Canis lupus familiaris: one gene and its partners. The protein of the gene in region 3 purifies or fractionates together with the protein of the main gene of each other region. This does not show direct contact. Links are inferred from orthologs where the notes say so. Each region holds a gene or a part of one and is shown on either strand. Other genes may lie near its edges. The genes, in order: DIDO1, SETD1A and OGT.

What was found.
Region 1: the proteins of OGT (region 3) and DIDO1 purify together in Homo sapiens (affinity purification with mass spectrometry; 3 studies listed by BioGRID and IntAct, with this or other methods). This does not show direct contact. The link is inferred for Canis lupus familiaris from reciprocal best matches to the Homo sapiens genes OGT and DIDO1.
Region 2: the proteins of OGT (region 3) and SETD1A purify together in Homo sapiens (affinity purification with mass spectrometry; 4 studies listed by BioGRID and IntAct, with this or other methods). This does not show direct contact. The link is inferred for Canis lupus familiaris from reciprocal best matches to the Homo sapiens genes OGT and SETD1A.

The regions. Positions count from the first base shown.
Region 1 is NC_049245.1:47,587,262-47,591,618, forward strand, and holds the start of DIDO1 (death-inducer obliterator 1), read right to left. Parts: upstream 2,808-4,357; 5' UTR 2,638-2,807; intron 1-2,637. UniProt on the Homo sapiens protein: Putative transcription factor, weakly pro-apoptotic when overexpressed. Tumor suppressor. Required for early embryonic stem cell development.
Region 2 is NC_049227.1:17,389,399-17,392,774, forward strand, and holds part of SETD1A (histone-lysine N-methyltransferase SETD1A), read right to left. Parts: intron 2,078-3,376; coding exon 1,028-2,077; intron 603-1,027; coding exon 430-602; intron 338-429; coding exon 227-337; intron 46-226; coding exon 1-45. UniProt on the Homo sapiens protein: Histone methyltransferase that catalyzes methyl group transfer from S-adenosyl-L-methionine to the epsilon-amino group of 'Lys-4' of histone H3 (H3K4) via a non-processive mechanism.
Region 3 is NC_049260.1:56,034,353-56,037,995, reverse strand, and holds part of OGT (UDP-N-acetylglucosamine--peptide N-acetylglucosaminyltransferase 110 kDa subunit), read right to left. Parts: intron 3,371-3,643; coding exon 3,175-3,370; intron 2,920-3,174; coding exon 2,779-2,919; intron 2,203-2,778; coding exon 2,102-2,202; intron 1,947-2,101; coding exon 1,793-1,946; intron 1,704-1,792; coding exon 1,602-1,703; intron 998-1,601; coding exon 818-997; intron 1-817. UniProt on the Homo sapiens protein: Catalyzes the transfer of a single N-acetylglucosamine from UDP-GlcNAc to a serine or threonine residue in cytoplasmic and nuclear proteins resulting in their modification with a beta-linked N-acetylglucosamine (O-GlcNAc).

The DNA of each region.
Region 1 (4,357 bases), on a different chromosome or scaffold from region 3:
TCAACACTTTCACCAAGAAACTGAACACACCGTAAAAGGCTAATGCAACGGAAGTTGACCTCTTGGTGCTGACTGCCTCATGTTCCGATGACTCTGAGCAGCAACTGGTCAGTTTACATATTATCCTTGAGAATTAGTTTGTTTTCACCAAATCTCTTTCAAAGCAGGGCATTCAGTGTGTAGGGGCTTGATTTTATGCTTTTGGGTTTTGCAAATAAGATAAAAACATCCGCGGAAATGCTGTCATTCTGTAACACACAGCCCACAGCCTGGTTATTGAGCAATCCAGGATTTGAGTAAAGGCAACACTGTGTATTTTATTCTTCAGATACTCCTCCCTTTTCAAAAACACTTTTAATGCTCTCGTAAGCCTAGTAAGTGTTTAACACTCGTCTGTAAAGAACCGCTAACCTATTACAAGGGAAGTCTCCACCTGGGCTTGGAGGATAGTGGAGGTTCTGGCCACCTGGCTGCTCCCCTTCCACAGACCCTCCTATTTCCTATCAACTGGGCCAATGCTCCAGGCTGTACCAAAGTGGCCCACACCCTCGGTGCTCCCCCACACCCCCAGACACCTAGCAGCACAAGGGGTCTTATGCTGGCGCAGGCTGGCCTGATCTCCCTTCCATAGGCGCACCTACTGTCCACAGGGGAGCTCATGCACTCCTGGCTGTGCTCCACTTTACCCCTGCCCAGACCTGTTCCCCTAACATCTCCACGGGTGCAAAATGAGCTCACGACTCCTGAACCTCTCTCCTCCAACCAGACCCTTCTCTGGTGTCCCTAGTCCACACGCACCAGCCAGAAGCCTGGAGATTCTCCTTCCCCCTCAGCCACCAAATCTTGTTGCTTCAGGGTTTAATGGGATCAACTTCACCTGCTGCTTGCTCTCCACCTCAGAGGCTTCTGCCAGTGTGAAACTGCTCCCCTCACCCTATTCACCTCTCCACTCACTGTCGTCTAACATTTTCCATTCCCGTGTCACTGTGCTCCTTGCTCTGTCCCCAACGCCTGTCAAGTATGCCTGCAGGACGGCCCTGCCGCACTGGACACCGCTCATCTTCTAGAACTCCCCACTTCTGCAGAACCTGCTAAACCCCCTGGTCCCTGTCAAGCCTCTCTGCTGACTTAATGGAAAACCTCTTCTCTGCATAGGGGCCATCTGGTGCCGTCCTTCTGGATTCTAGACTTATCTGCTCCTCCTCTCTACAGTCTTTCTCTAAGTATGTTTGTTAACTGTCACAGGGTGTCACCGTAAAACCTTCACGTCCAGCCCCGGCTGCTCCTTTCAACTTTAGCCTTGTCCCCCAGGCACCTCCAACCCAGCAAGACTGACCCTGGGCTCCCCAGCCCCCCCGCCCCCTTCTAGCCCACTCGTCTGCCCAGCTGGTGCCACCACCAGGAGCCTCATCAACCAGGCTGCACATCTGAGTGCCATTCACCGCAGGGGCTCAATCGCCAGACTGCAAACATTCCCCCCTCGGCGAAGTCTCCCTGCGTCCACTGTTGCGGAAGCTGCTCTCGATTATCCTCCTTCACTCATTTCCTCCTTCCCGTTCTCAACAGATACCTACGGAACTCCTACGAGGTACTAACGTCTCGGCTCTGGTGCAGCCCAGGTGTGTGTGGCAAATTGCAACGTTATCAGCCATCAGTGGCAGAAACCGGTGGGCTCAGAGCTACGCGGGGAGAGTCAGGGTGCGAGGTGGGCCTACGGGGGCGGTGCGCTCAGCTTGGTCTAGGGAGGGCCTCCCCATCTCCGGCAGTTGGCCTGCAAGTGCTCTGCCCGAGACCCCACTCGAGCACCCGCGAGCACCTGCAGAGAGGTAGGGCGGCTGCAGCAGAGGCAAGGGGCGGGGGCGGGGGCGGGGGCGGGAGCCCTCCCGGCTGCGCCCACTGGGCACGCGCCATCAGGGAGTGCCCGGAGGGTGTGAGGAGCAGGGCACGGGCGGGGGGGGGGGGGCACCGGCCGGGCGCGCGGGAGCCTGGGGGCCGCCCCAGAGCCGAGGGGCCGTCCCCGGGCGGCAAGGCCCACCTCCTCGGGGCACCGCGCTCAAGCTTTCGCTTGCGTCCCTTTGGAAAGAATTTCAAAAATCCGCGCCCCTGCGCACGCGGCGAGGTTGGCATCCGGAGCGGGCACAGGTCAGGGCGTTGCACAGGCTGGCATCACGGGCCCGCACTGCCCCGGCGGCTCTGAGTCGGGAAGCGCGGGCAGCGCCGCCCGGGCCCACCCCGACCCGGCCCGACCCGGCCCGACCCCGGCCGCCCGCTCCCCCCCACGCGGCCCGCGGCGCCCGACCCCGGCCCCGGCCCCGCCCCCCGCGCCCCGGCCCCGGCCCCGCCGCCTCGCGCGCGCCCGCACCCCGGCCCGACCCGGCGGACCCCGCGCCCCGCGCTCCCCGAGGGCAGGCCCGTTTCTGTCGACTCATGAGCCGGCGGGCGGCAGCGCGCTCCCCGCCCCGCCGGCGCCCCGCAGCCCGCCTCGGCCCACGCCGCGCAGGGCTCCCCGGGGCGCGCTCGGCCGCCCCCTCCCAGGCCCGCGCTCGGCGGGCGCTCGGCGGGGGGGCCCCTCGGGGCGGCGCGCAGCACCGGCGCCCGCCCTCCCCCTCGCCCGCGGCCCCTGCCCTGCGAGCTCACACAAGCCGCGGAGAGGAAGCGGGGACCTTCGCCTCCGGCTCAGCCTAGATGTCGCCATCGCGGCGCGAAGTTCCCCCACAACGACACCTCGACGGCGGCCATCTTGCCCGGGGTCGGCCGACGCCTTTTGACTCTCGCGCCAACCCGTAGAGCGAGGGCGCCGCGAGCGCCGTTCTGCGCAAGGACGGAAGCCCGAGTCCCGCGCTTCCGGGCGGCCGCCGCGCCCCGCCCCCTCGCGGGGGCTCCTGATTGGCTGCCGGCTCGGGGCCTGCGCTCGCGCGGTCTCGCGGGAGGTGCCTGGAGGGGCGGCCGCCGGTGCGTCTGCCCTCCCGCTCCCCGCCCCCGCCCCCGCCCCCGCCGCCGCCGCGGCTCCCGCCTCCGCCGCGCGTCCCCCGCGCCCCGCCGCCCTCCCGGCTCGGCCCGGCCCCGCGAGCGGCCGTGGAGACCGCGCAGCGCGGGAGGCGGGCTCCGCCAGGTAAGATGGCCGCGGCGGCCCCGGGCGGCCGGGCCGAGCTTCCCCGGGGAGCGCGGCGGGCCGGGGCGGGGCGGGGAGGAGCCCGGGAGGCGCCGGGGAGGCGCGCGGGGACGCGGCCCGGGCGGGGGCGGGCGGGGGCCTCCCGGGCGCGCACGTCCAACTGCCTCCGGGTCGCGGCCGGGTCGGCGGGGCCCCGCGGCGCCGGGCGCTGTAACCGGGCGTTTATTCCTAAAGGGACAGCGCTTCCCGCGAAGGCTCCGACGCGCAGAGCGGCCGGCCGGGGTCGAGGAGCCGCGAGGAGCCGCGAGCCGCCGCGCCTGTGCCCCGCGGGGAGGACGGCGTTTATGACCACCAGCGGAGCGGGCCCGGAGCCGGAGCCGGTGAGGACGGGCGCCGCCGCCTGCCGCGCGGGGCCGGCTGCCTGTGCGTCCTCGGTTAGTTCCCGTGGACCATCCAGGACCAGGAGCGTGGTCTGAGCAACGCCTGTGCTGGCCTGGAGCCCCGGGGCCCGGCGCCCCGCGTGTGCCCTCTGCGCCCCGTGCGGCACCGTCCCGGCACCCCGGGGCCTCCTCTCCTGGCCTCGCCACCGGCCCGCGCGTCCCTCCCCACGCGCCCCCTGGGCCGTCGGTGCCGCATCCTGGCCTTCACGCCCCTGTGCGGCCGCTGTCACTGTTCCCAGCGCTGAGCTGCGGACCTGTGATCCTGGGGCCGGCTCGCCTTCCCAGCGAGGAGTCAGAGTCGGCCCAAACTTGCTCTACTCCTCCAACCTGTTCCTCTGTTCAAGCCTTCCTCTTCGGCCGAGTCTCAAGCGCTCCTGCTTGTTCATCTCTCTGCATTCAGTCCGGAGCAGGACCGTTGACACGTCCGTAGAACCTTCACCCGCCGTGTGTCCGACCTCCCTGCCGCTGCGCCCGTTTGGTGGCTCCTTGCTGGCTTTGCTGCTCAGCGCTTGCCACCCCGTTTCCACCGTCTAGCTTTTTAATTGAGGGGAGCACTCTCGCGTGTACTTAGCTGGCATTAAGTGAGCCCCGCAACTCACAGGTTACGGGGGGGGGGGGGGAAGAATAGGAAGTAGTGGGAGTGGAGGGCTGCCCAGCTGGTACTCCCCGGGCCTGTGCCTGTCCGCTCTGGAGGATCGTGTCTTTACTTAAAGCAACAAAACGCTTTCTCACGTTCCTGTTTGTTGCCGTTGTTTTTTTGTCCTTTATAAAACTGTCTGGCATACCTGGGCCCTGCTGCAACTCA
Region 2 (3,376 bases), on a different chromosome or scaffold from region 3:
CTCGTGGATCCGGCTGCGACCAAAGCGGAGTTTCTTCTTCCGGAACTAGAGGGCAGAATGCAGGCTGTGCTGCTGGGCGCCTCCCTCAACCTAACTCCTTGCCTTTGCTGCAGTCCTCCAAGGGGAGAAGTGTGCTTCGGCCACTCACCTCCATGCCCAACCCCAGGAGACCGCATGATGCTGCCCGCCCACCGGGCCTCTCTTCCCCTAAGTCCCTGCTCCTCACCTTGAGCTGGTTTAGCTTTAGCAGATCACTGTCCATGATGGCGGAGGTGCCGATGGCACTCAGCAACCGCCGCTGCTCAGACCGGCGCTCCGAGAGCACACGGTTAGTCCCCTGGGAGAAGCAGGATGCAGGGGGGGAGGTAAGTGACAGGGGCAACCGTGAGTAGTGACACCAATGGGCCAGGTATGAGGGCAGAGCCTTACCTGAGTGTCTGCTCCTTCCAGCTGCCGGGCCGAAACAGGGCACACATCCAGGTACCTGTCTTTTTCCTTCTTGCTGATTGGGTAATAGCCTTCACTGCGGGCTGAGCCTGTCTGGTGCTCACGGGGCCCATCCTGGGGCCGCCGTTTGCGTTTTGGAGTGCTCAGGTTGGTGAGTGCAGGGTGTTAAGGAAGAAAATGGGTTCCTTGCTGGCCAGATCCCTGGGGCCCTCTCCCCTCGGTCCACCCAGTCCCAGCCCATGGAAAGGGTGACTGACCTTAGCAGGAGGGCCCAAGCATTATTTAGCATGAGGAGGGCAGAAAAATGGAGAGAAGAAAGCCTTAGATCTCACCTTTTCTGCCAGAAAAAACTCAGGGAGGTAGAGAAGGGGCAAGAGGCAAAGAGAAAAGAATGGCCTGGGGGCCAGAGGAGAACAACCAGGCTGAATGTGGCAGAGAGAACAGGGAGGGAGGCAAACAGAGACGCTAGCTGCGATGTGAGAGGGCTGCTCCCTAGCTGTGCGACCCCAGGGCAGCCTGCCCCCACCCCTGGGGCCTGCCTTCTTGTGCGGAGCAAGCTGGCCTCTAGGGCCCAGGATATTGGTGTGATGGACCCAGTGGGTGTCATTCAGCCAGTCAGCCCCGCTTGTCTGCTGCAGCAGCCGCTCGTACGTGAGCCGCAGATAGCCCATGTCCTCCAAGTCCAGGCCCGAGTTCCAAATGTCATACAAGATGGTCATCTGTTCAAACTCACTGCGGGGTTCGAAGGAAGGGGGTGGAGGGGGTGGAGGGGGCGGGGGTGGCCGCCTGCGCCGGGTGTGGGAGCGGAGGCTGCGCCGCCGGACAGCGCCCTCCCCGTCACTACTGCTGCTGCTGCTACTCTCGGAAGACTCGGACTCCTCCTCTTCCTCCTCCTCCTCCTCTCCTTCCTCTTGCTGCTGCTGCTGTTGCTGCTGCTGCTTTGGCTCCTCCGCCTCAGCCACCACCACCTCGGGGGCCTCCAGGACCTCATCTGCTGGAGAGCTGAAGAGGGCCGCAGGGGCAGGAACTGGCTCCAGAGGCCGAGGGGCCGGAGTGGAGGGCGGCGGCTTGACAGCCAAGGCATAGTTGTGTTCCAGGAGGATGTGGCTGAGCAGGGGGCCTGGGCGGTCGGCCTCATCCGATGTCTCTGTGGCCTCCGAGTCGTCACCTGGTGGCAGGGCAGTCAGCCCACGACGGGCTGGGGTCAGGGCCAGGTCGGCCAGCACCGCCAGGTCCACTTCGGTCCCTGGGTCAGCTTCCTCCTCCTCAGTAGAACGGCCTCGGCCTCCAGCCCGGCTCCGACCTCCTCGGGACACCTCCTCAGGCCAACTCTTGACCAGAGATGCATGGTCCAGGGGCAGGTTTCGAATGGTCCGCTCCACAGTCCGGGGGACTTTGCGGGACACAGGGCCAGGAGACTTGATCTGTGGCGGGGTGGCTGGGGGAGGCTCTGGTGCTGGCACCTCCTCCAAGGCAGAGAAGGAGACCGTTTTCCGGCGTTTCTTGGGTGGGGGCAGGAGGGGGATAGGAGAGGAGGGGCGCTCATCAGGGCGGGGAACGGGGGCCAGGGGTCCCGCTGGCGGCTCAGGGGGAGGCTGGGGCACACTGGGAGGTGGTTCCTCAGTGGAACCTGGGGAAGGAAGCACACAGGGAAAAAGAGAAGGTCAGCAGCTTGCGGGCAGGGTACTGGCCTGTCTCACTGGGGAGTCCACACCAAGGCTGCAGGCTCTCCTCTGCTTCTGGCACACATGTGCTCACCCAGCAAACATGCTGCTGCCTCACAGCTGCAACAAGTCCTCTGCACCTTGGGCTCCCCTTGGCAGGAGGTTCTGCACCTGCTCATTCATATATTCGACAAACATTCACTGAGCACAAGTGTGTCAGGCATAGGGCCGACACGCTGGGCACTTTCAAAGCCCTCACAGAGATTACAGTCCAATGGGGACTGTGACAGGAAACCAATGTCCAGCCCAAACTCTGGAGAGTTGAGGTGGGGGCTCTAGGGAGACACACACTTAAGTTCTTTTTTTTTTTTTTTTTTTTTTTTTTTTAGATTTTATTTATTTATTCATGAGAGACACAGAGAGAGAAAGAGGCAGAGACACAGGCAGAGGGAGAAGCAGGCTCCACGCAGGGAGCCTGATGTGGGACTCGATCCTGGGTCTCCAGGATCACGCCCTGGGCCAAAGGCAGGTGCTAAAGCGCTGAGCCACCTGAGCTGCCCAAGCTCTATCCTTTTAACCAAGACTAGTGGTGACTGAATTATGTCCAAGGACTAGGAGCACAGAGGATGGACCACCGCCTGGTATGATGATGCAATTAACCCTCTCTGAACTAAAGTATCCATTATTTCAACTACAATGTTCTCTGTTCAGTGAGGTGGTAAAGATACAATGTAAGCATTGAGTCTTTGTATTGAAACACTGCATAGTATTTGTTTCCTTGCCACCACCTGCCAAGGAGCACCAGGGTTTGCCAAAGTGGGGAGGGGTCAGGAAGACTCCCCTAAAGAAGCTGAGGGTGAAGGTGAGACCCCAAGGTTAGGGAGTGGTCTGAGGAGGGGACACACCATCTTGAGCAGGTGGCATTCTCTCTCCCCAGTCCCCCAGACAGGAACCTGTCCTCCCTCTGCTGGGGCCCTCAAGTCTGGTACTGAATGTGGGAGCCTGAATACAGCTCAAGACTACACTGCCCTTTCTCTGGGGCAGACCCTGTGTTGCAGACTAACCCTTTCCCCTCCTAGGTTTCAGCCACTTGGAACAGCCGCGGCCTTTCACACGTGCCTCTCCCCTCCTGCCTACTGGGAAAGCTCACCGAGCTCAATGCCATCTTTGTGAAGGCTATGCTGGTAGTGACTTCCTCTCAGAACCAGAAGGCCGGCGGCTCTCAAGTGCCAGTCTTCAGGATGGCAGCAGCAGATTAATAACTA
Region 3 (3,643 bases):
GCTCCGTGGTTTAGCGCCTGCCTTCAGTCCAGGGCATGATCCCGGAGTCCCGGGATCGAGTCCCACATCGGGCTCCCTGAATGGAGTCTGCCTCTCCCTCTCCCTCTGCCTGTCTCTGCCTCTCTGCCCTCTGTATCTCTCATGAATTAAGAAATAAAATCTTTAAATCAATCAATCAATCTTGGAAACAGGGACACCTGGGTGGCTCAGCAGTTGAACGCCTGCCTTTAGCCCAGGGCGCAGTCCTGGAGTCCTGGGATAGGGTCCCCACATTAGGCTCCCCGCAGGGAGTCTGATTCTCCCTCTGTCTGTGTCTCTGCCTCTCTCTGTATCTCTCATGAATAAGTAATATCTTAAAAAAATAAAAATAAAAAAATAAAACTTGGAGACAGGAGGCAGTGCAGAGTATGATAAACCCTGCATTTTAGAAAATTCTGTAGAGAAGCGTTTTTTTTTTAAACAGAATTACATCTAGCACGCCAATCTATTCTGCTGTGCAAATTTCCACCTTTCCACAAGTAGTGCTCTAATTTTCAAAGCAGAGTACAAAATACCAAACACCTTATTAAACGTTATGGTTTTCAAACTATAGGAAAACACCATCTATCTATTGTTATGATTCTCTTAGGGGACAGAAGGGGTTACGATCGAGACAGACAATGGAAAAGGCTTCTGGGGTGGCTGACAAAGTCTCATTTCTTAACATGGGTAGTGTACACCTAATGAGTGGATAACTCATTAACCTACATACGTATGATTTGCGTCATTTTCCGCATCTGTATTTTACTCTGCAACAGAAAGTTTAAAACAATCGCACCTTATCCAAGCAGAGGTTCCCATGCCTCTCAGCAATAGCCTTCCTGAAGCCATGAGAAAGAGGATATAACATACTATGATGAGGATGCACAGATGGCAACCTATTCTTCTCTAACTGGTCAGCCACAATACTGACCAACTTCTTCATTCGCTCATCATAGTCTGTCCAATCACAAACAATCTAGAGGAGACAAAAAGAAGTTATTATCCAGAAAACCCTTTTCCAAGATTTAACATTTTATAGGTCTTTGGCCTAATGTAACATCAGATAACCCTTTAAAAAACACCATCTCTTGGGGATCCCTTTGTGGCTCAGTGGCTTAGTGCCTGCCTTTGGCCCGGGGCATGATCCCGGAGTACTGGGATCGAGTCCCACATCGGGCTCCCTGCATGGAGCCTGCTTCTCCCTCTGTCTTGTGTCTCTGCCTCTCTCACGGTCTCTCATAAATAGATGAATAAAATATTAAAAAAAAAATCTCCAGCCAGGTTTGGATCAATGCGGCACACAGAACAATTAGAAAGTGATTGTAGGGCAGCCCAGGTGGTTCAGTGGTTTGGCACCGCTATCAGCCCAGGGTGTGATCCTGGAGTCTCGGGATCGAGTCCCACGTTGGGCTCCCTGCATGGAGCCTGTTTCTCCCTCTCCCTGTGTCTCTGCCTCTCTCTCTCTCTCTCTCTCTCTCTCTCTCTGTCTCTCATGAATAAATAAATACAATCTTTAAAAAAGAAAAAAAAAGAAAGTGATCGCAACACTGAAAGCCAATTACTGGCCTATTATTCTTTACCTGTAGGCAATGAGCCAAGTTACAATAAGCATCAGGAAAATCAGGCTTCAGTTTCAGAGCAGTGCGGTAAGAAGCTATTGCTTCTGGAATATTCCCTGAATCCTGGAAATACACAAAGTGGGATGGTTGAAAGTCTTCTTAAAATTAAACATTAGGTGTTTAGATACACGTATTATAATAAACAATAGTACCTTATGAATGGAAGCCAAATTGCTGTGGGCATCTGCAAATGCAGGGTTAATCTGAATGGCACGAGTATAACACTGCAAGGCTCCCTGAACATCCTGCATCTCCTTTAGAGTGTTTCCCATGTTAGAGTAGGCATCAGCAAAGGTAGGACTAATTCTAAAAGAGAAAACAAAGATCTTCTTTAGGACAAAAGTTGTTAACTCCCTGTGATATTAGTCTGTTGTTCTTAAAAGTCATTTAACACAAGCCAAATGTGTCAAATGCCAAACATTATAAAACATTAAAAAAAAAAAAACCAGTGAGGGTCTTACCGAATAGCCTCCTTATAATGCATCAGAGCTTCCTGAAGTTTTCCCTGCTGCTGCAATACGCTTGCTAAATTGGAATGGGCAGCAGCAAACTCTGGGAAGACCTACAGAGTCAAGATGGTATCTGAGGTTTAAAAAAAACTTCTATACCAGCAATAACAACTTACCACAGTAAGTAAGTACCTTTATATCCCTACACTTATCTACCTTCTCCCAGTCTACTCATTCTTCAAAGCTGCGTACCTCAAATTCTCCCTCTTCATTTTGTACCTCTCCTTGCTGAAAAACATGATGAGGTAGCTCTCTCCTCATCCTAGTTTATGCTGATTACTCTAGTATCTCTCTCCTGAAATCTCTTGCTCTTAAACTCCAACCATACCCACCAGTCACCGTTACAGCCATCAGGCACTAAAATGATATATTTATTAACAACCTCTCTTGAACTGTAACTTACGGTTAATTTTTCTGTGCAGATCTACCTATAAAATAACGAATGCAATATAGAGACTTTCTTGACTATCACATAGGCCTTCACTCATACCTTAGATACTCAATTACTGGGTCAATGAATTATTCAACCACTATTTTTACAAAAAGAGGTGGATGACATGTCAATCTTTAACTGCCTTTCCTCTCTTATCACATAGACAAGATATTCAGCCACACCACCCTGAACATACTTCCAAAGCTTTCCGATATAAGCGAACAGCCTCTTCAATATTTCCCTGTTCTCGTTTGATATTGGCTAGGTTATTCAGAGAGTCTGCATGGGTGGGACACAGCCGGAGAGCTGTATTGTAACAATCTTCTGCTTCAGCAACCTAGAAAACAAAACAAATTATTCAAAACCTATAATGGAGGAATCACAGAGCCACCACGGATGTTATTCTAACAACTGCTTAGTTAAGCCTGATGGCTGGTAATATTCTAGAAAATAGGTATTTTTGCCATTCTCCTCTCAACCAAAACTCAAAAGTAAAACAATTTGCCACTTCAATACTTAATCACAATAGGTACAACAACGGCTTTTTAATCCTACCAGGTAACAAAAAAGTAGACTGAATAAATGTCCTTACACTGCCCTTCTCTTTGAGAGCATTGGCTAGGTTGCAGTAAGCATCAGGAAAATGTGGTTGCAGTTCAATAGCTCGCCTGTAGGTGTCTATTGCCAGATCTATCAGGCCTTGCTCATAGTATACACAAGCCAGGTTGCCGTGCACCACCGCATGATTTGGACTCAAGCTTAGGGCACGAAGGTAAGCTGCCACAGCTCTGTAAATAAAAAAAACACACACACACACACAATGCAACTAACTTTTAATGGATGCTCTGGTACAATTAATTCATGCTATACTATACCAAAGTATATCAATTAATTGTAATTAATCCAAGCTATACTATACTTAACCTCGTATCAAAATTTCACCTTAATAAAATATGTATTTCTAAACTGAAAAATTTCCTATTTCCACATAAGAAATCAGCTCTCCTCTAACAAAAAAAAAAAAGTCAAAAGTGAGGATTTACTTAGCTTTCTGAATCAGA